Rattus norvegicus: one gene and its partner. The main gene of each other region encodes a partner of the protein of the gene in region 2 in a complex. Links are inferred from orthologs where the notes say so. Each region holds a gene or a part of one and is shown on either strand. Other genes may lie near its edges.

What was found.
Region 1: the proteins of Zc3hav1 (region 2) and Khnyn are in contact, whole or in part, in a crystal structure (PDB 9BGL), measured with the Homo sapiens proteins. The link is inferred for Rattus norvegicus from reciprocal best matches to the Homo sapiens genes ZC3HAV1 and KHNYN. Residues at the interface, in NP_064504.2 of Homo sapiens: Glu5, Val6, Cys8, Phe9, Lys12, Ile13, Ala16, His17, Glu29, Ile30, Ala31, Leu32, Leu113, Glu115, Phe118, Ser127, Gly128, Leu129, Asn130, Glu133; in NP_001277186.1 of Homo sapiens: His651, Lys652, Asp654, Phe655, Gln658, Arg659, Pro661, Tyr662, Asn677, Phe678.

Annotation. Positions count from the first base shown.
Region 1 is NC_086033.1:33,339,140-33,348,562, reverse strand, and holds part of Khnyn (KH and NYN domain containing), read right to left. Parts: intron 4,561-9,423; coding exon of another isoform or gene 4,548-4,560; exon of another isoform or gene 3,768-4,547; intron 3,762-3,767; coding exon 3,654-3,761; exon of another isoform or gene 3,594-3,653; intron 3,466-3,593; coding exon 3,364-3,465; intron 2,943-3,363; coding exon 2,693-2,942; 3' UTR 195-2,692; coding exon of another isoform or gene 1-194. Other genes in the region: epimerase family protein SDR39U1, read left to right, coding at 1-194.
Region 2 is NC_086022.1:67,985,125-67,994,547, forward strand, and holds part of Zc3hav1 (zinc finger CCCH-type antiviral protein 1), read right to left. Parts: intron 7,843-9,423; coding exon 7,722-7,842; intron 4,697-7,721; coding exon 4,594-4,696; coding exon of another isoform or gene 4,590-4,593; exon of another isoform or gene 3,954-4,589; intron 967-3,953; coding exon 882-966; intron 213-881; coding exon 82-212; intron 1-81.

The DNA of each region.
Region 1 (9,423 bases), on a different chromosome or scaffold from region 2:
AGGCCTTGGGTGCTGCCCTGGGCCGCCCAGCCTTCATACCTGTCCCCAGCGCTGTGGTACAAGCAATCTTTGGACGAGAGCGTGCCATCATGCTGTTGGAAGGCCAGAAAGTGGTCCCCCGGAGGACACTGGCCACGGGCTACCAGTATTCCTTCCCAGAGTTAGGAGCTGCCTTAAAGGATGTTGTAACCTAAGTAGAGAAGGGAGCCCCAAGGCAGGAGGTGGGGCCTGTTCCTGCATTCTGAGAAGTGAGTCAGGTGATTGCTGTACTTGACTGAGATCAGAAGCCATCTGGCTCTTAGACTCTCTCTCTCTCCCCTTTCTTCCCATGTTCTGTTGATCCACCTCTCTCCAAGAAACTCCAGTCTCAAGGATCTAATCTCATTCTAACCTTAACCTCCTCAACTTCTTGTGGCTTCTGTGTCACATTGTTGCCCTGGTTCTCCTACATGCTATGTAGACAAAGTTCTACAGTTGTGGCAATAAAGGTAGACTGTGTCTGTAGACCACTGGCTTCAGCTGTCTCTTTGGTTTGTACTCCCCTGGAATTATCTTTAGAACTATTCCTCTACCTGGCTCTTCTCCCTAAACGGGGTCCTGAACATTTTACCTCTCTCCTCATCCTTTCCTTTCATGGTCTCTCTTCCCAAACGAACTGGGGAGACATGAGGTTATAACAGAGATTAAAGATAATATATATAAAAATCTATTTCCAGTGAGTTCTGGCGTCACCTGACCACCTGTTCAGAGGATGCCAGCCAAAGTGGAGAGGAAAGGCCCTGTAGGTTAGTTAGCCTTCAGCATTCACCAAACGGCCATGAATTAATAAACACATCCAGGTTCCAGCTTGTCATACTGCAGTAAGACAGAGTCGCTGTCCCTCTATAAACCTAGGCTTCGTCTCTCATCTTCTTGGGAACATTCAGCCTTCCAGGCCCCATAGCATAAAAGGGAAGATAATCCCAGCCCCCTGTACACCCACCATCATGGCAGGCAAAAAGAGCAAGACACCAATCACAAACTTAAAGAGCAGTTCTACCAGTGCCCAGTCCAGACCACTCTCTTCTCTTCCCTTGTCATTTCCCTGATCAACTTGTCTCCAACACCTCACCTTGCGTGAACTGAAAATTGCCCAACAAAACAAGGACACTGGGACCCAAAGGGCCACACAGTCAACTCTCTGTGTCTCCTGGAGTAAGTCAGAGTCAGGAAACCATCTAATTAATTGGGGGACTTACTACATGAACCCAGGGGCACCTGCCTCACCTTTTTATACCTCTATCTGACCCTAGCCTCTAAAAAGTTAACCAGCTCTGAATTATTCCTGGGGAAGATAAAAGTAAAACAGAAAAGCATGTTAGACTACACTAGAGAAAAACTGATTAACAGGTCCACATAAGGAATGTGCCACCTTGTTGATAGTAAATTCCCTGGCACAGAAAGAGTTCAGAGAGAAAACAATGACGTGTGGGAATTCGAATGTAAACAGGGTGTCACGATAGGTCAGTGGAGTTGGTCTGTAACCAATCAGGTATCTTTCAATCCTGAGGCTTCAGCTCCACTTCCCAGACACCCGATATGCAGCAGTGTGTCTTTGCCGAATGAATCCTGTCTTTCATAAAGAAAATATTAGATAGGTCTCATTAAGCACTGCGAATCATGACGTCATGGGTTTGGTGACTAGGCCCAACACCAGAAAGAGGATTTAACCGGGGCCTCGTCGATCTGTAAACACTTGAAACACTTGACCAGCTGCCATTTAGAGGAGCCCTGAGAGTACTGAAGTAACGCATCCGTCAACCCTACCTTGACTATTCTGTTAACGCGTTTTGAAGGTTGCTGGAAAGGAATGCAGCCATTACAGGGCATGTTCTACGGAAAACCCAGCGTGAAAATCGAGGGTATAGACAGTGGACACCTCTGAAAGTGAAGTTTTGGTTAGGGAGCCTGTGCAGCCACAGGCAGCCACACCTGAGCCATGATCCATGTACACAGTTCCTCACGGGAGCCGCCTTCTCTGTTCTCGTTTCCCTCAAAGTTATTTTTATGCCCGAAGTAAAGGCCAAGCAACTCCGTCAAGGTCACAACCAAGGCACAACTGAGACTGGAAGCCTGCCCGCCTCTACCTTCTGCCTCTCAGCTGTCCCACTACAACAGTGCACATAGCGCTGTGACCCCTCCAGGAGCCAGCATTCCTTCAGACACACGAGGGTACAGCTCAGCCTATCCTAGCCACTCAGAGGGGCAGCCAGAGGGCGCTTTCTTTCTCGGCTTACCCTTTGTGTCCCCTCCAGGCTACCCTAGCCTCCAACCAAGTAACTTGGTAATGAAGCCACAGTCTCCATCTCCAGGAACAGCCTCTGCACCCTACAGAAACCCTCTGTTAAGACAAAGTTGAGGAGTGGAGTCTGATCAAAACCTCACGAGGGTACGAGTTGTACCCTCGTGTGTCTGAAGGAATGCTGGCTGCACTCCTCCCTCACGTTGAGTCACTTTAAGGATCTGTCCTTAAAGTACCTCAGGCAAGAGTATTCCCACACTCAAATTCTCTTCTCTGGTACTTTGTCTGGCTGAAACGCCATTTTAGAATGAGTCTAGGTCATAGTCTGAACAGCAGAGGGACCATAAGTGAGGAGGCTGGGCTGGGGGAGGCTGATTCTAGTAGGGTAGCAGCTATGCAGGGCAGAAAGGCTCAGAAGTTGAGACTCAGCAGGGCCTCAGAAAGTTGATTAATATCCCGGCAGTATGGTTCCCGCTGCAGGATGAAGTCCACCTTGTGGTCCTGACCCCAAAACACTTCAAGCAGCTGGCGCCGGAGCCGCTCTGTCTCCCGGGTCTTCCGAATGCCACCACTGCCCTTCTCCACTTCCTTCCCCTGCTGCTGATGACCATGTTCTGTGGGACCTTTGGAGGGCTGCTGAGACTTAGAGGAGCCCTGCTTCCTGGAAAAAAGGCAGAATAAGACTGATAAGCACTCTGGAGGAAAAACTGAGCCTCCAGGCACCTCTTTCTAGCTGTAGATGAACTTACGAGGTTTCCTAAGCAGGCCACTGAGAGGCAGTATTGACCCCATAGGAAGACAGAACCCTAATGAGATGTCCTTATTTAATCACTTATTAATGAGCCAAGGGAGGGCATGGGGTACGACCAGCTATCACTACATCAACCACCCCCAGTTGGCTCCATCAAACACACTGAGCAGAAGAGAAATGAAATAAAAATTCTTCTGCCCAGTACAAAGGCCCGTCAGGACTCCCTGGGGAGATTTTAAAGGATAGACCCAAACTGTGACACTCCATCCATGCCCCCAATCCTTCAAAGAGCAGCAGATCTACAGACTGCCTGCAGAAGTAGGGGCGTTACCTGACCGGCTTCTTCAGAAACTCATCCAGGGTGGGGCCATTTCGCCCCAGTGGATCATCTGGGACCATGAAGAGGTTCCCCACAAAGGTGAAGGGCAGAAGGCTACAGGAGGAAAGAGGAAGTCACAGAGATGACCTCGCCTCCCTCCCAGGCGTCTGAGATCAACACCACCAGGAGCTACTGGCTATCATCCTTTGAGGTATCTTCAAGCCCTTTCCCAAGATTCTCACCCAGTGGCCAGAGAAGAGCTGGTTTAGAGAAAGGTCTGAGCTGGTGCCCTATTCTCTCACCGCTCTCTGATGATCGCCATCCACTTGTCAGACTCCTCAGCCAGATCCCGGAACTGGTCATTGGAGACAATGATCCCATCAGTCTCTTCAGCCAGCTTCACCATGAACCTGTCTCAAAACACAGACACTGTTCTGGGGTTCTCCAAGGACAGACCCCACAGTAAGCTAACAGTGCCTGTGACCCACTTCTGGTGATGGAAATAGTCTCCCAACTCATTCACTCAACTGCAGAAGGGTGAGGAAGGCTTCTTGGGAATTGAGCCCAGAGTCTCATGCATCCTAGGCAAGTGCTTTACCACTGAGATAGTAGGTAGGCAAGTAGATAGGTAGGTGATAGACAGATAGATGGTGAACAGATACATAAATAGATATAGATAGACGATAGGTAGATAGATACATAGATGATATAGATGATAGATACATAGAAAAGATAGATAAGTAGATGACCAACAGGGGCTGGGGATTTAGCTCAGTGGTAGAGCGCTTGCCTAGGAAGCGCAAGGCCCTGGGTTCGGTCCCCAGCTCCGAAAAAAAGAACCAAAAAAAAAGTAGATGACCAACAGATAAACAGATGAATGATACATATGTACATATAGACAGACAGACAGATGACAGATAATAGATACATAGATACAGGTTAGAGATAAATGGATAGATGGACAGACAGATAGACAGACAGATGATAGGCAGACAGACAGGTAAGATAGATAGATACATAGATGATAGACAGACAGACAGAGATAAGAGATAGAGATCATCAGGTTTGGGCAGAGCAGGGAGACAGGCAGGATATGATGGTGCACACCTTTAATCCCAGCACCCAGGAGGCAGAGGTAGGTGAATCTCTGTGAGTTCTAAGCCAGCCTGGCCTACATAGTTCCAGGACAGCCAGGGCTACATAGAGAACCTGTCTCAAAGACAAACAAAAAAAAAAAAAATCAGAGACAGGATTTTACTAAGTTACTCAGTCTAGCCTTGAATTTGCTCTGTAGCCCTAGCAGGCTTTGAACTCTCAATCATTCCTACCTCGGCCCCCCAAGTAGCTAAGATCACACACAGCCTGTGCCTCCATAGTCAGCTTCTCTCTCAGCATCATCCAGCTACCCGTGACTAACTAGACAGAGACCCAAGGTTAGAGGAGAAACAGTGAAGAACCCAAGGCAGTTAAGGTGTCTCCCAACAGCACCATTCACCACGGCCTTCACTGGACACTAAGAACCAGTACAATCTAGCTCTCTCTCCCACGTTACTCACAAACCTGCATTTATCTCTGAAAAGCCTTCCACTGCAGAACTTCCACACTGCCTTCTTTCCGAGGGCCACAATCACTTTAATAAGTCAGACATTAAAACTAAGACTACTGCCCAGCCTTCAACCAATTAATTCATCTACCTTACCTAACTACCCACAGTCTGCCAGTCTCGCCTGCTCTCCCCTTCACAGCTCTCCCACACCCACCCTTCAGCCAACCCAGCCCAAGTGAAAAACCTTGACTAAAGGCCGCAGGTCCAGGCCTGGCAGCTAAGGGGCGCCACGTCACCCTTCCAGTTCGCCCCCAACTCTACCCCCTCACACACACACACACACACACACACACACACACTCTCTCTCTCTCTCTCTCTCTCTCTCTCTCTCTCTCTCTCTCTGGATTCCCTCAAGTGCCCTCAACTCTAGCTAAGGTGAATGATCAGATTATACTCTTTTTTTTTTTTTTTTGGTTCTTTTTTTCGGAGCTGGGGACCGAACCCAGGGCCTTGCGCTTCCTAGGTAAGCGCTCTACCACTGAGCTAAATCCCCAGCCCCCAGATTATACTCTTAACACATGCTCTGCTCTCTGACTTCAGTTTCTCAAACTATTCCCTCCGTCTCCGAATGCATCCTAAGCCCTTAGTGAAAGGCACCCAAGGAGCTTGCTTTCCGGCACTAAGGCTTGCTTGGTGGAGTGCCCAGCTGGCATGCATGAGGCCCTCGGTTCTGTCTCCAGCACCACATGAACAGGGCCTGGTAACATACACCAGCAACTGCCACATTCAGAAGGTGAAGACAAGGGAATGAGTTCAAGGTCATCCCCAGTTACTCACTGAGCCTGAAGCCAGCCTACATTTGGGAGACCTTATCTCAAAAAATAAATAGAAAAATAAAACTTCAAAATTTTTTGTTATGGTTTCTAAGAGTTTCTTTTGATTTTTTTGATGATTTTGTTGTTGTTGTTTTGGGTTTTTTGGGGGGAGGTTGGTTTTTTCAGGTGCTTTGTCTGTCTGCATGTGTGCCCACAGACCAGAAGAGGGCATAAGATTGTGAACTGCTATGTGACTGCTGGGAATTGAACTCAGAACCTCTAAATTTTTTTTTTAAGATTTTATTCATTTATTATATATAAGTACACTATAGCTGACTTCAGACACACCAGAAGAGGGCATCGGGTCTCTTTACAGATGGTTGTGAGCCACCATGTGGTTGCTGGGAATTGAACTCAGGACCTCTGGAAGAGTAGTCGGGTGCTCTTAACCGCTGAGCCATCTCTCCAGCCCGAACTCAGAACCTCTAAAAGATCAGCCAGTGCACCTAACCACTGAGCCATCTCTCCAAACCCAAAATTTTAATAAAGACACCTGAAGCCCACTTTAGTAATCCTCTTGTTCTATTTTGTTTTATTTTGAGACAGGAGGTTACATAGCCCAGGCTTGCCTCCAACTCACTGAATGGCTGAAGCTAACCTCAAATTCCTCATCTTCCTGCCTCTGCCTCTACCTCCCAAGTGCTGGCATTAAAGATATTTGCCACCATACCCAGGTCCCGTTTTAGTAACTCTGCATCCACAATAACATTCACAAGGTGGTGGGTAGACTTTAGACTTTTAAAACCAAAGTGATCCAGCCCACATCCTTCTCAATGAGCAACCCTTCCTTCCTGTAAAACACAGTCACAATAGGGCTCCCTACCCCCAGGTCCTGAAGTGCTTGATTTACAGAGGATCCTGGACCAACTCCAGCCCCAGAGTTCTTTCTCCAAGTCTCCAAGTTAGAAGTGGGTGGTCAGTACCTGAAAAGCACTGTGGTACAGAGAAGACCAGGAACAGGAACAGGTAGGACAGGCGTTTGGGAAGCAAGCTAAGGGATGCCATGCTCTGTGACATAAACAAGAGGCCCTTTCTAGTTAAGCAGTTCACTGCTTTCGTGTGAAGATGCATCCTGCTCTGCGGCACTCATTCCCTAGGCCCTGTTGTGCTTCGCTGCACCGATTTCCCAAGTTTACATCATGTACCCCCCAGGTTCTACGTAACTGAGCATTAAAACTGACTCAGCCTCCAGTGTCAATTCTGTTACAAAGCTGATGTGGACAACAGCTGACTGTCTTAGGTAAACAGAAACCTAGACCCAGAACAAAATAGCAGCGCTCAGGAGGCAGAAGCAGGAGGATTACCACAAGCTCAAAGCCAACCTGGGCTACACAGATGAAGCACCAGTCCAGCCGAGGGCTTCACAATGAGATCCTGTCCAAAAAACACCAGGCCCAGCGGGAGTGTCCTGGTTGGGTTTGGGGGTTTTTTGTTTTGCGTTTTTTTTTCTAACTTGACACAATATAATTATTTAGAAGGAGGACCCTCAGTTGAGAAAAATGATTCATCAGATTGCCTGTAGGCAAGTTTATGGGACATTTTCTTGATTGCTAATTGATAAAAGAAGGACCAGCCCATGGTGGGCAGTGCCCATCTAGGCAGGTGTCCCTGGGTGATATAAAAAAAGCCAGCTGACGAGCTGGAGAGGTGGCTCAGCAGTTAAGAGCACTGACTGCTCTTCCAGAGATCCTGAGTTCAATTCCCAGCAACGCATGGTGGCTCACAACCATCTGTAATGGGATCTGATGCCCTCTTCTGGTGTGTCTGAAGACAGCTACAGTGTACTCATATAAAAATAAATAAGGCTGGGGATTTAGCTCAGTGGTAGAGCGCTTACCTAGGAAGCGCAAGGCCCTGGGTTCGGTCCCCAGCTCCGAAAAAAAGAACCAAAAAAAAAAGAAAAGAAAAGAAAAGGAAATCAGCTGAGCAAGCCAGTAAGTAGCATCCCCTGCAGTCTCTGTACCAATCCCTGCCTCCGGGTCCCCGCCCTGAACGCCAATCAGGGTGACAATTGCCTGAAAGTTTAAGATGAAATAAAACCCTTCCTCCCCAAGCTTCCTAGGATCATGGCATGTATCACAGCATAGAAACCTAACTGGGACACAAAGAAAGTGAAGTACCTGTTGTACAATACTGTTTACTTCTAAGTGGTAAAAGCTAAACATCTGGAAAGCTAAAACATACAATCATTCTGCTGCTTAGATTTAACTGTCAACTTAACACAACCTGGAATCACCTGAGAAGCATTCACAGAGAGGGACCGTCTAGATCAGGTGGTCTGTAAGAAGGTCGCTAATTAGAGTGGAAAGATCAATCCACTGTGAGTGACACCATTCCCTAGGCAGCAGATTCTGGATCCTATGAGGAAGCAAGCTGAGCACTATCATGTATGCATTCATTGCTCTCTCTTCCTGACCATGGATGTGATGTGACCCTTAAGTTCCTGTTACAGTGACTTCCCACCTATGATGGACAGAACCTGAAACTGACAAAAGCTGAAGCTGAGAGCTGAAATTATCCTCCTTAAGGTTGCTTTTTGCTTTTTAAGAGTCATTCATTTTATGCATTATACCGTAGCTATCTTCAGACACACCAGAGGAGGGCATCAGATCCCATTACAGATAGCTGTGAGCCACCATGTGGTTGCTGGGAATTGAACTCAGGACCTCTGGAAGAGCTGTCAGTGCTCTTAACCACTGAGCTAGCTCTCCGACCCTTAAAGTTGCTTTTTAAATTTGTGTGGTGTGTGTGTGTGTGTGTGCACAGTGTGTGTGTGTGTGTGTGTGTGTGCGTGTGTGTGTGTGTGTGTGTGTGTGTGTGTGTGCATACACACGTGACACAATGAGAATGTGAAGATCAGAGAACAACTTGCAGAGGTCAGTCCACTCCTTTTACCATTTGGGCCCAGCGATCCAAGTCCGGTTGTATGTGTCTGCACATACACACTGCGGGCTCACAAAGTCCATTTAGCTGTGTGAGCTGCACGGTGTGAGTGCTGGGAAACAAGCCGCTCGGTCCCCTGAAAGAGCAGCAAGCACTTTTACCCCTTAGCCATTCCATTCCTCCGGCCCCGGAAGTCTCTCCTGTCAGAGTATTTTATTACCATTATAGGAAAATAAACTGAGATAACCACTGTGACTTGGAAACTAATTTTTAAAAACTGAATGAATGTCTAAAGGAATAAGTATTTACAGCTATTAAAAGATTTTAAATCGAGCCAGAGAGATGGCCCAAAGGTTAAGAACGAGCACCAGCTGTGCAGCAAAGCCCTGCATTTGGTTCCCAGCATCCACATCAGGCAACTTACAACAGCCTGGAACTCCAGCTCCAGAAGCTCCAACACCCTTTCGGGACTCTGGGCACCAGGCACGCTCACAGTGCACACCCATGCACGCAGGCAAAACACCACTACACGTGAAATAGAACGTAAACTTTACGAAGGTTTTAAAATAGCCGATTAGCCTTAAACGCATGTATTTCCACACCACGTGTGCGAGTATGGCAGGAACAAACCCTATATTTGACTTTGCCTAAATGGTAACCTTAAATTCTAATTTTTATTGCCAAGGGAGTTAACCACTTGGCTTCTGCCTCTACCTCTATAAACAGAGATGGTATTACACACCACTTCTTGCCTTTATTTTTTTCTTA
Region 2 (9,423 bases):
CTCTACCACTGAGCTAAATCCCCAGCCCCCCCCCCCATCTATTTAAATAACATGACCCCAAACAAGGTCTGATTATGTCACCTTTCAAAAGCGTCCCAGAGTTTTTGGTTCCATATCCGCTTTATTCTCACAATCTTGAAAGGTTTCATGGATGCTTTAAACTGTTCGCTTACTGTGACATACTCCACATCCTGGTCATTGAGTTCTAGAAACTTAAAAAAAAAAGATGTTTAAATGTTAACTAGAAAACATTAGAAGCATGCTGATCATCACATGTGCCCACCCACACCAGGACCACCATGGCTGTTCTCAGGTGGGAAGGGCTGGCTTAGCATGTCCATATCTGGCCTCATGTTCATTCTGGTAATGATCCAACAGGCATGTGCCGGTCTGTTCAGGATAACTTATGCCGTATATGACTTAGTCCTGAGACCCAGGAAGGTAACTGCCCAAATTCCAAAACCCACCAGTGACAGAGAGATCAGAGATACCTATGGAACACAAGATTGGCCTTCACAAGAGCTGGAGGCTAAGCCAGACTAAGGAACAGTCTTGTCTCAGCCGGGCTAGTGGCAAAGTAGGACACTTGAAGTTGGCTACTGTTGCTCTCGGAATCCTGCTTTCTTTATCAGCTATGATCTCACAGGGTGGCTGTGAGAGTCTGCCTGAATGACGTTGCATCACTAGGAACACAGAAATGCCCTAGAAAACAGTTGTTCTCTGGGAATGCATCACCATCACACCCAGGCGCCTTGCCTTTGACTCTGGAGCTAAGTTTGGAAGAAGCAGTTCACTCATTCCGTTAACAAACCCATATGCTTCCTGTAAAGCATCTTCCCACCTTTACAGGATTCACCCACCAGACAAGCAAAGCCAGTTACCTCATATTCGTTGGGCAAAACAGTGCTAGCATTCTTCTGGGGAATAGAATTCAGAGCATCTGCCTTGGGCGTCACTGGCTGATGACTACAAATAAAGACAGAAGGAAATTTTACTTGGGTCCCTTTCTTTCTACCCTCAACACACAGCCAGAAAGTCTTTCTGGGTAATGTAGTATTGACTTCTATATTTACTCTGAACCACTCCTGAAAAATCCTGATTCCAGTAACCACAGGTTTTTACAAAGAGGTTCGATCATTTAGGAATGAATGTAAACGCTCCCTTTCCCAATACTTTAAACTATAAAGCACGGGCAGGTGAGACAGCAGTAGGTACCAGTTCTTGCCTGATGATGGGTCTTATTGCTAGATCCTTTCAGGTTGAAGGAAAGAACTGACTCTTTAGATTTTGTTATTGACTTCTTCCTGTGTGTATATGTGTGTGGGGCAGTGCATGCACACACCTAAACACACACACACACACACACACACACACACACACACACACACACACACACACACTGAGTAAATGAATGAATGAGTGGATATACATAAAACTACCATGTAAAGGCACCAATTCTTTTTTTGATGTATCTGCTCAACCTTCAAAGGTACAGGTGTGTCAGTGTGAGCTTGTGTGTCTTGTAACTTCTTTGTCAAATGGTAGACAGGTTAAGTATAGGACAGAGGAAGGGACCTTGCCTTTTTGTAGGAACTGTATTTCAGTGTGAGAGAGCAACTGGAAGACTGAAGTAACCTCAGCCATCCCTTAGTGTCAGTAAACAGAACAATCAGAGCAAAGCATCCTGACAAAAACCCAGCCCAGAACTGACAAGTCCTCAAAATCTAGTAACCAGCCTATAGAAGCCACCCATAAAATGGCCTCATTGGAATATGATGGAGTATATTTTGATCGATCAAACTACCTATTTCTTTTTTCTTACCCCGTTTTTTTTTTAATCGCATTTTTAAAAATAGAGGGTAGTCAGATGTGAGGCGCATACCTTTAATCCTAGCACTCAGGAGGCAGAACCATTGTGAGTTCGAAGACAGCCTGGTCTACGTATTGAATTTGATTGAGGCCAGGTAGGACTACACAGAAAGACCCTATCTCAGATACAAACAAATGAGAGGGGGAGGGGAGAAAAGAAAAGAAAATGTAGGGAATGGACTGAGGAGATGGTTCATTGGGTGTAGAGGAATTTTAATCTAGCAATATGGCTGCTCTGATCACATCCAAAGACATTGTAGGTCTGGGTGAACCTGCTGGAATGAATGCAGGCAAACTTTTTGGTCGGGATGCTTAGCACACACCTTTAACCCTTCTGGGTGGAACCCTTTAGTACACATCTTTAATCCCAAACAATGACAGCTAACTAAGGAGCAGACAAGGTGATGAACCAGAGAAGGATTTAATAGAATGAGCCAAATATGCCCAACTCTCAGGAGAAAAGCCATTTAAGAGCAGCATAGAAGGCTGGAGAGATGGCTCAACGGTTAAGAGCACCCGACTGCTCTTCCAGAGGTCATGAGTTCAATTCCCACCACCCACATGGTGGCTCACAACCATCTGCAAAGAGATCCGATGCCCTCTTCTGGTGTATCTGAAGACAGCTACAGTGTACTTAGATAGAATAAATGAATAAATCTTAAAAAAAAAAAAAAGAGCAGCATAGAGAGTTGGGAGTCTGTCTGTTCATTTGAGTGAAATTGAGTTTGGTGAGTCAGTTGGAAGTCAGTGCAGGGAGCCAAGTTCATTTGTGAGTTCACATGCAGGTCAGCAGAGGCAACTGAAGCCAGAGAATAAGAACAAGCCAGAAAATTAGAACAAATTCCCAGAGTTAGTTTGGGCCAAGCAGAACAATTCAGTGAGAAGTTGAGAGAAGCCAGACTGAATCAGTCAGCTTGGAGAAGAGTATGAACCAGAACAGCTATGTTGAAGCAGCCAGCCAGAGTTCAGAAAGAACTAGAAAGAGTGAGCTTTTCTCAGCAGTAAGCCTCTGAGAAGACAGTTATGTTAGGTGAATGGATGTTAGGTGAATAGAAATTACTTTCACAACTGGGAAAAGTGAGGATCTGATCTCAGATGCCCAGCATCCACATAAAAAAGCTATGCATAGCAGACCCCCCCCCCACAACACCAGTACACACAGGAAACTGGAAACAAGTGTTCCAGGGACTTGGTGGCTTGTGTGCAAGCTCTAGGTTCAGCTAGGAACTGTCTCGAGGTAGATTGAGGAAAACATACCAATGTCAAATTTTGCCCTCCACATGCACCAGAATTGGTGAGATCATAAGCATGCATGCACATGCACATAATTTTTGTATAATTTACTTATTTCTATCTTATGTGCATTGATGTAGTTACAGACAGTTGTGAGCTGTTACGTGGGTGATGAGAACCGAACTCAGGTCCTCTGGAAGACCAGGCAGTACTCTGAACCACTGAGCCATCTTTCCAGCCCCCCACACAACATTTTTTAAAAATAGAGACAGGTACACTTAAATAGTTTAAAAGCAGCTTAGGGATAAAATCAACTACAAAAGGTAATTTCAAAGAGAATGGGAAAATACATTGGGTGAATTGGGTATTACATGATAGTTAATGAATTACTGTCAATTTTAGTAGATGTCATATGTGTTGTCACAGAGTCTAATACCAGGAGGAAGACAAACCAAAGAGGCTGTCACTACTGAGCACGAGGCACACCAGCCTTGTTCCCAGGGTCTGAGGTGTATTTCAGCAGTGAGCACACTGCAGCTGCTAAGCATGTTATGTAGATGAGAGGGGGTAGCGTGGTTCCCCTACCCAAATCCCTGAAGCTAACGAACAGAGGGCAGGTGTGAACTTAGGTAATCTAGAACCTGGACCAAGCTGCTCCATCCTGCAGCGTCCTCCTGGACATGACTCTCTGCCTGTCTGCACTTTCTGGATGTTACTTCCATGTCGCCTTGTGGTAACCCACCTTTGACTCTCATAGCTACAAGAATCTAGAACAGTTTGATTTTTACACCTGCCTTGAAACCTGACTCATATATCACACACCCCCAGAGGGAAAAAATCCAACTGCAAAGTTTGTGAACAATGAGACTTTACTGAGTTTCATAGCAGATAGGCAAGTTACAATGAATTCCCCACAGCAAAACCCACCTTGAAATGCCCCATGGGTACAATGATTAGAAATCAATTAAAATTAAAACCAATGCCTTTAGCCAACTTGATCTTTCTCCAGCTCTTCACCAGGCTGCTAGCTTAAGCCTTTTTCTCAGCCCCCTGCCCTCACAGCACAACCAAAGACAGAAAGAGGACCCTCAGCAAAACAAAAACCCAGTGTATTTGCCGGCACACCCCTTGATCCAGTCAGTAACAGCTGGAGCAAGTGTGACCCAGAGTATGGAGAGCTGCTAAAATACCCTGTAAGTTAAAAGCAAATGCTGGTTTAATGATATAGTATCCTTCCCACCCTATACCCAAAATCCAAACCTTATATCTATTACACAAAGCTTAACCAAGTGCCTGCACCCCTTGGCCCCCTGGTCCAGGAAACTTTCAGTTATGCCACATTGCTTAACAATCTTCCTTACTCATAGGTAAATCAAATAGAAACTGCAGTGAGACAGAGGCAGGAACTTCCCAACAACACAGAATCCAGATGCATGATGCAGCACGACGCAGCAAGATCATGGCCAGAGCTAACAGCTTCAGAACACTTACTCTGGAGCTCTTCTCTTCTGCTCCACATCGTTCGAAGAAACAAATACTGGCCTTCTGACAACATGCCTTTGAGTCTTGGAAGCTATATTTGTCTGAATCATCCCTTTAGACAAAAATGAAATAAAATAAAGATTAAGACTTGATACTAGAAAATGACTCATTTTTCCCTCAGAGGTCATTTCTACAGCAAACATTCATGACTGAATCTTTTTCTTTATTTCGTCTTTGTTCTTCTTTTCAAGACAGGGTTTATCTGTTTAGCCTTGGCTGTCCCAGAACTTACTTTGTAAACCAGGCTAACCTCAAACTGACTGAGATCCACCTGCTTCTGCCTCTTGATTGCTGGGATTAAAGGTGTGTACCATGAATGAATCTTACATGCACAGAGAAGAGAAATTTTAGATAAAGCAACTGTAGACCTGGTTCAAAATTCCAAGAGTGACTTTTTTCAATGACCATGCATGGCTAGAATATAAAACAATATTTCTCTTTGGAGCTTTTCATAAAGTCCAACATATCTAGGAACACTACCCAAATAAATGAAAACCTGGATCCACACAAAAAGAGCTGCATTACTTATGACCAAACACTGGAAAGCAACTGGTGGATAATAAACTATAAAACGTATTCACAATGGAATATTATTCAGCAGATAAAAGTGAAGAACTACTATACATACCACAACATAAATGATTCTAGAACCCACTTTTTTTTTTTTTAAGATTTATTTATTTATTATATATAAGTACACTGTAGCTGTCTTCAGATACACCAGAAGAGGGCATCAGATCTCTTTACAGATGGTTGTGAGCCACCATGTGGTTGCTGGGAATTGAACTCATGACCTCTGGAAGAGCAGTCGGGTGCTCTTAACCGCTGAGCCATCTCTCCAGCCCTAGAACCCACTATTTTGAATGAAAGAACTCAGCTATGTGTGAATATATACTTTGAGAATCTTTTAATAGATTTAGTAGAGTGGGGCCTTATAAACAAGTCAGAACAGGGCTAGGCAGTGGTGTGCTTGCCTTTAATCCCAGCACTAGGGGCAGGTAGATTTTTGTGAGTTGAGTAGAGTCTGGTCTACAAAACAAGTTCTAGAGCTATGTAAAGAAACCCTGTCTCAACACCCCTAGCCCCCGACACCCACAAAAGAAAGAAAGACAAGGGATTGGGGATTTGGCTCAGTGGCAGAGCGCTTGCCTAGGAAGGGCAAGGCCCTGGGTTCGGTCCCCAGCTCCGGAAAAAGAAAAAAGAACCAAAAAAAAAGAAAGACAAAAGGAGGCATGGCAAACTTTTGGACAGATGGAAATGTGTCATATGTAATGTCAATGCTCAGCCAGCTGCGTACGTGAAATGGATTCATTTTACTGAGACATTAGGACTCGGTCAGGGTGATAGAACAGAACAAATAAAATCAAACGGGTGAGTTGGATATTGCTGCAATGATACTCAAAGTCTTCCCATGGCTCTGATGTTAAAAACATGGCTCAATCAACAAGAGCACAGGCTGCTCACCTAATGGGCCCACATTTGATCCACACCACCCACTGTAGCTTACAAATCTGAAGTACAATGGTTTTCACTTGGTAATAACTCATTCAAGTTTGTCTGTTTTGCTCTGGGGGTGGGGGGGGGGTATTTTGTGTTCAGATTGGGTCTCACCATGCATTCCTAATAGCCCCGGAACTCACAGAGATTCTCTAGCCTCTGACTCCCAAGTGCAGAGATTAAAGACATGCCCTGGGTCTCCACTAGGGTTTTATTATTTTTGTTTGTTTGTTTGTTTCTGTTTTTGTTTTGTTGGTGGTGGTAGTTTTGGTGGAGTTTTGAGATAGAGTTTCTCTATGTAGCCTTGGTTGTCCTGGAAATTGCTCTGTAGACCAGGCCAGCCTCGAACGCACAGAGATCCAGCTGCCTCTGCCTCCTGAGTGCTGGGATTAAAGGTATGGGTTACCATCACCCAGCTCCAATTAGTTTTGGGAGGCATTTTTCTCACTTCCTGATTAGGTGGGAGACCCAGCCCACTGTGGGCGGTGCCATGCCCAGGCAGACTGAACTGTTCTCTGTAAGGTGGTAAAGTACCTTTAGAGCACTTTGCTTTATAGTAAAGTAAAGTAAGCCAGGGGAACAGTAAGAAACAGCCCTCTGTGGTGTCTCTCAAACTCCTGCCTTGGCCTGTCCTAACTTTTCCTCCCTCAGTTGTTTTTGGTAATGGTGTCTATTACAGCGACAGAGATGCTAGCTAGGACACTGTCCTAGCTAGTAAACAAGCTAGGACACTGACCCCCAACAACCGACTGACATTTGATACCCTAGCTTCTTTACTCACTGTCTAGAGGACACAGAGGAGAGGAAGCAGTGGGCATATTTCAACAAGGCTTGGTGGGAATGCCAGGTCGATCTCCAAAAGCGTTTGGTGTCACATAATCCCGAAAGTTACGTTGTTTACAACATAATGAATGGCTCAAGCCTCAGAGACAACTGGGAAAGCTAAGGACTTGAGAAAGTCTCACTTCTTCAAAACTGGCCCTGAAAGGGCAAGTGTTTGGCTACTTGCAGGCATGTCTCTGAGGCATGATCCCAAGGGGACAGGACTTTCAGTCAAGCTGGCCTTGGAGCTCATTTCTCTTTCACTTCATAACAGACTGGTGGCAGCTACCCAGAACGCCTTCCCACAGAGGTTCAACTACACATGGTGACTGGCCAAGTGCCCAAGTGGAGGAGATAAATGATCCAGAGGCAAGGCATGAAGAGCAAGTTTCTAGATGTCTAAGGCTGTCCAGAGGCCCAAGCTCTCCACCATAGTCATCCAAAACTAAATAGTGAAGGGTCCCACCCAGAATCAGAAACATAATCTGACGGAGCTGAAGAGCCCTCTAGAGATGTCTGTCCAAACCTCTGAGTACTGGGAGAGAAGTGGGCAGAGAGTCTGGAGGCTCTTCTGGGGGCTGCACAGAAAGTCTGCTGGGAACAGGGCCCCAGGCCACCGGCTATCACTCCACTCGCAGAGACTATTCCCCCAGCTAAAAAAGACCCTGGGCCTTGGGCGTGACACGGATATGCACCATCTACTCTTGTGTGCTCAGTGCCAGATTGGACAGACCACACCACCAAAGACAAGAACTCACCTTGAAAGCTTAACTCGTACTTCTGTGAACCAGCCTGGAATGGCAAAACTCCCCTGGGACAAGACTGGAAGAAAGACTCCAGGTACGCAGAGTTGATGTCAGAGCTGGTGTGGCCTGGGCTCTATTCACACAAAAATGAAGAAGACATAGGTAAAGACTTTTGGGAAATCTCTACCCTTCTATCTCACAGTTTTGCTTTAGTGACACAATCAGGGAGGCTCACAGTGCTGGCTATACTTGCTTCGAGGGCCTGCTGCAGGATATTTGATCACACTGGGAACCCCAAGACGCATTGTTTACAGAAAAAAAACAAAACAAAACAAAACCTGTTTCTAGTTGTGGTGTGGCCCAGCCCTAGCACACACCCTTAACTGGAAACAGGCAAGTGCAGACTGGACGTAAAACCCTACATTCAGGGGCTCGAGATACAGCAGTTGCCAAACACTTCCTTGAGAACTAGAGCCGAGGGGCTGAAGATAGCAATACTGCCTACATGGGGAGGAGCTCATGCTTTCTTTAGTGACATTCAGCTTTTTGCTAGGCCTTCCTTTCCTTCAGGAAAGTGCCCACCGGGAGAGAGGCCTGGAACAGAAGCACCTGAGGAAAATATCTTAGGGCCAGGGGCCTGCATGCATCCCATAGACTCACACATAATGCAGAGTGAGTCTGTCTGGGTATGTGCCAGCCAGGACATGAGGCCGGAAGAAAAGGCAGAAGACTTCTAAGCTTCAACATCCAATTATGAAGCCAAATCATGAAAATGCTTGATGCGGTGGCCACCAACACAGAGAGGGTTGAAACAGGTCACTGCCATGATTGGGTGGTATCTGGTACTCCATGTACCTCCTTTCTGACTCAAAGAACAGCCAAAAGGGGGCAAATCCTTGTAAGGCCTAGAGACTTCCTATCCTGATAGCTTGAAGCCTTGTATCCTTCAACTGTCTCTTCGGCTTTGTGCCTTAAACTGACTTTCTAAAGAAAATCTCACGCACGGGAAGTACACCAGGGAACTGACTAAATACTGTTCAGGAGTTAGGAGAAGGACTTGGATCAGCATTTGAACGTCACCTAGGTGATAGGTTGTGAACCTCACTTTGACTAGCAGGGCTCTAGGGTGTGGTGCAGCTGAAGATGGTTATGAATTCAACCCAACACAAATACAAAAATCACCCTAAAAAATAGGAGTCTAACTCATTGCATTTGAATGTTGTTGATAAAATGTTTCACTTTCCCCTTCCATCTTGTCTCTTATCACAGTTTCTAACTATATTTCATTTTATCTACCTGCCTACCTGCCTTGCCTTTTTTTTTTTTTTTAAGATTTATTTATTTCATGTATATGAGAACACTGTAGCTGTCCTCAGACACACCAGAAGAGGGCATCAGACCTCATTACAGATGGCTGTGAGCCACCATGTGGTTGCTGGGAATTGAACTCAGGACCTCTGGAAAAGCAGTCATTGCTCTTAACCACTGAGCCATCTCTCCAGCTCCTGCCTTGGCTTTTCAAGACAGGCTTTCTTTGTGTAGCTCTCCTTGGCTATCTTAGAACTCACTCTGTAGACCAGGCTGGCCTCAAACTCACAGAGATCTTACTGCCTCTGCCTCCCCAGTGCACTGCCTGGCTCATTATTTTATTAAGCGTTCTGCCATACACTGCTCCCCCTGCTTTTGACACAGGGGTCTGGAACTCACTATGTGG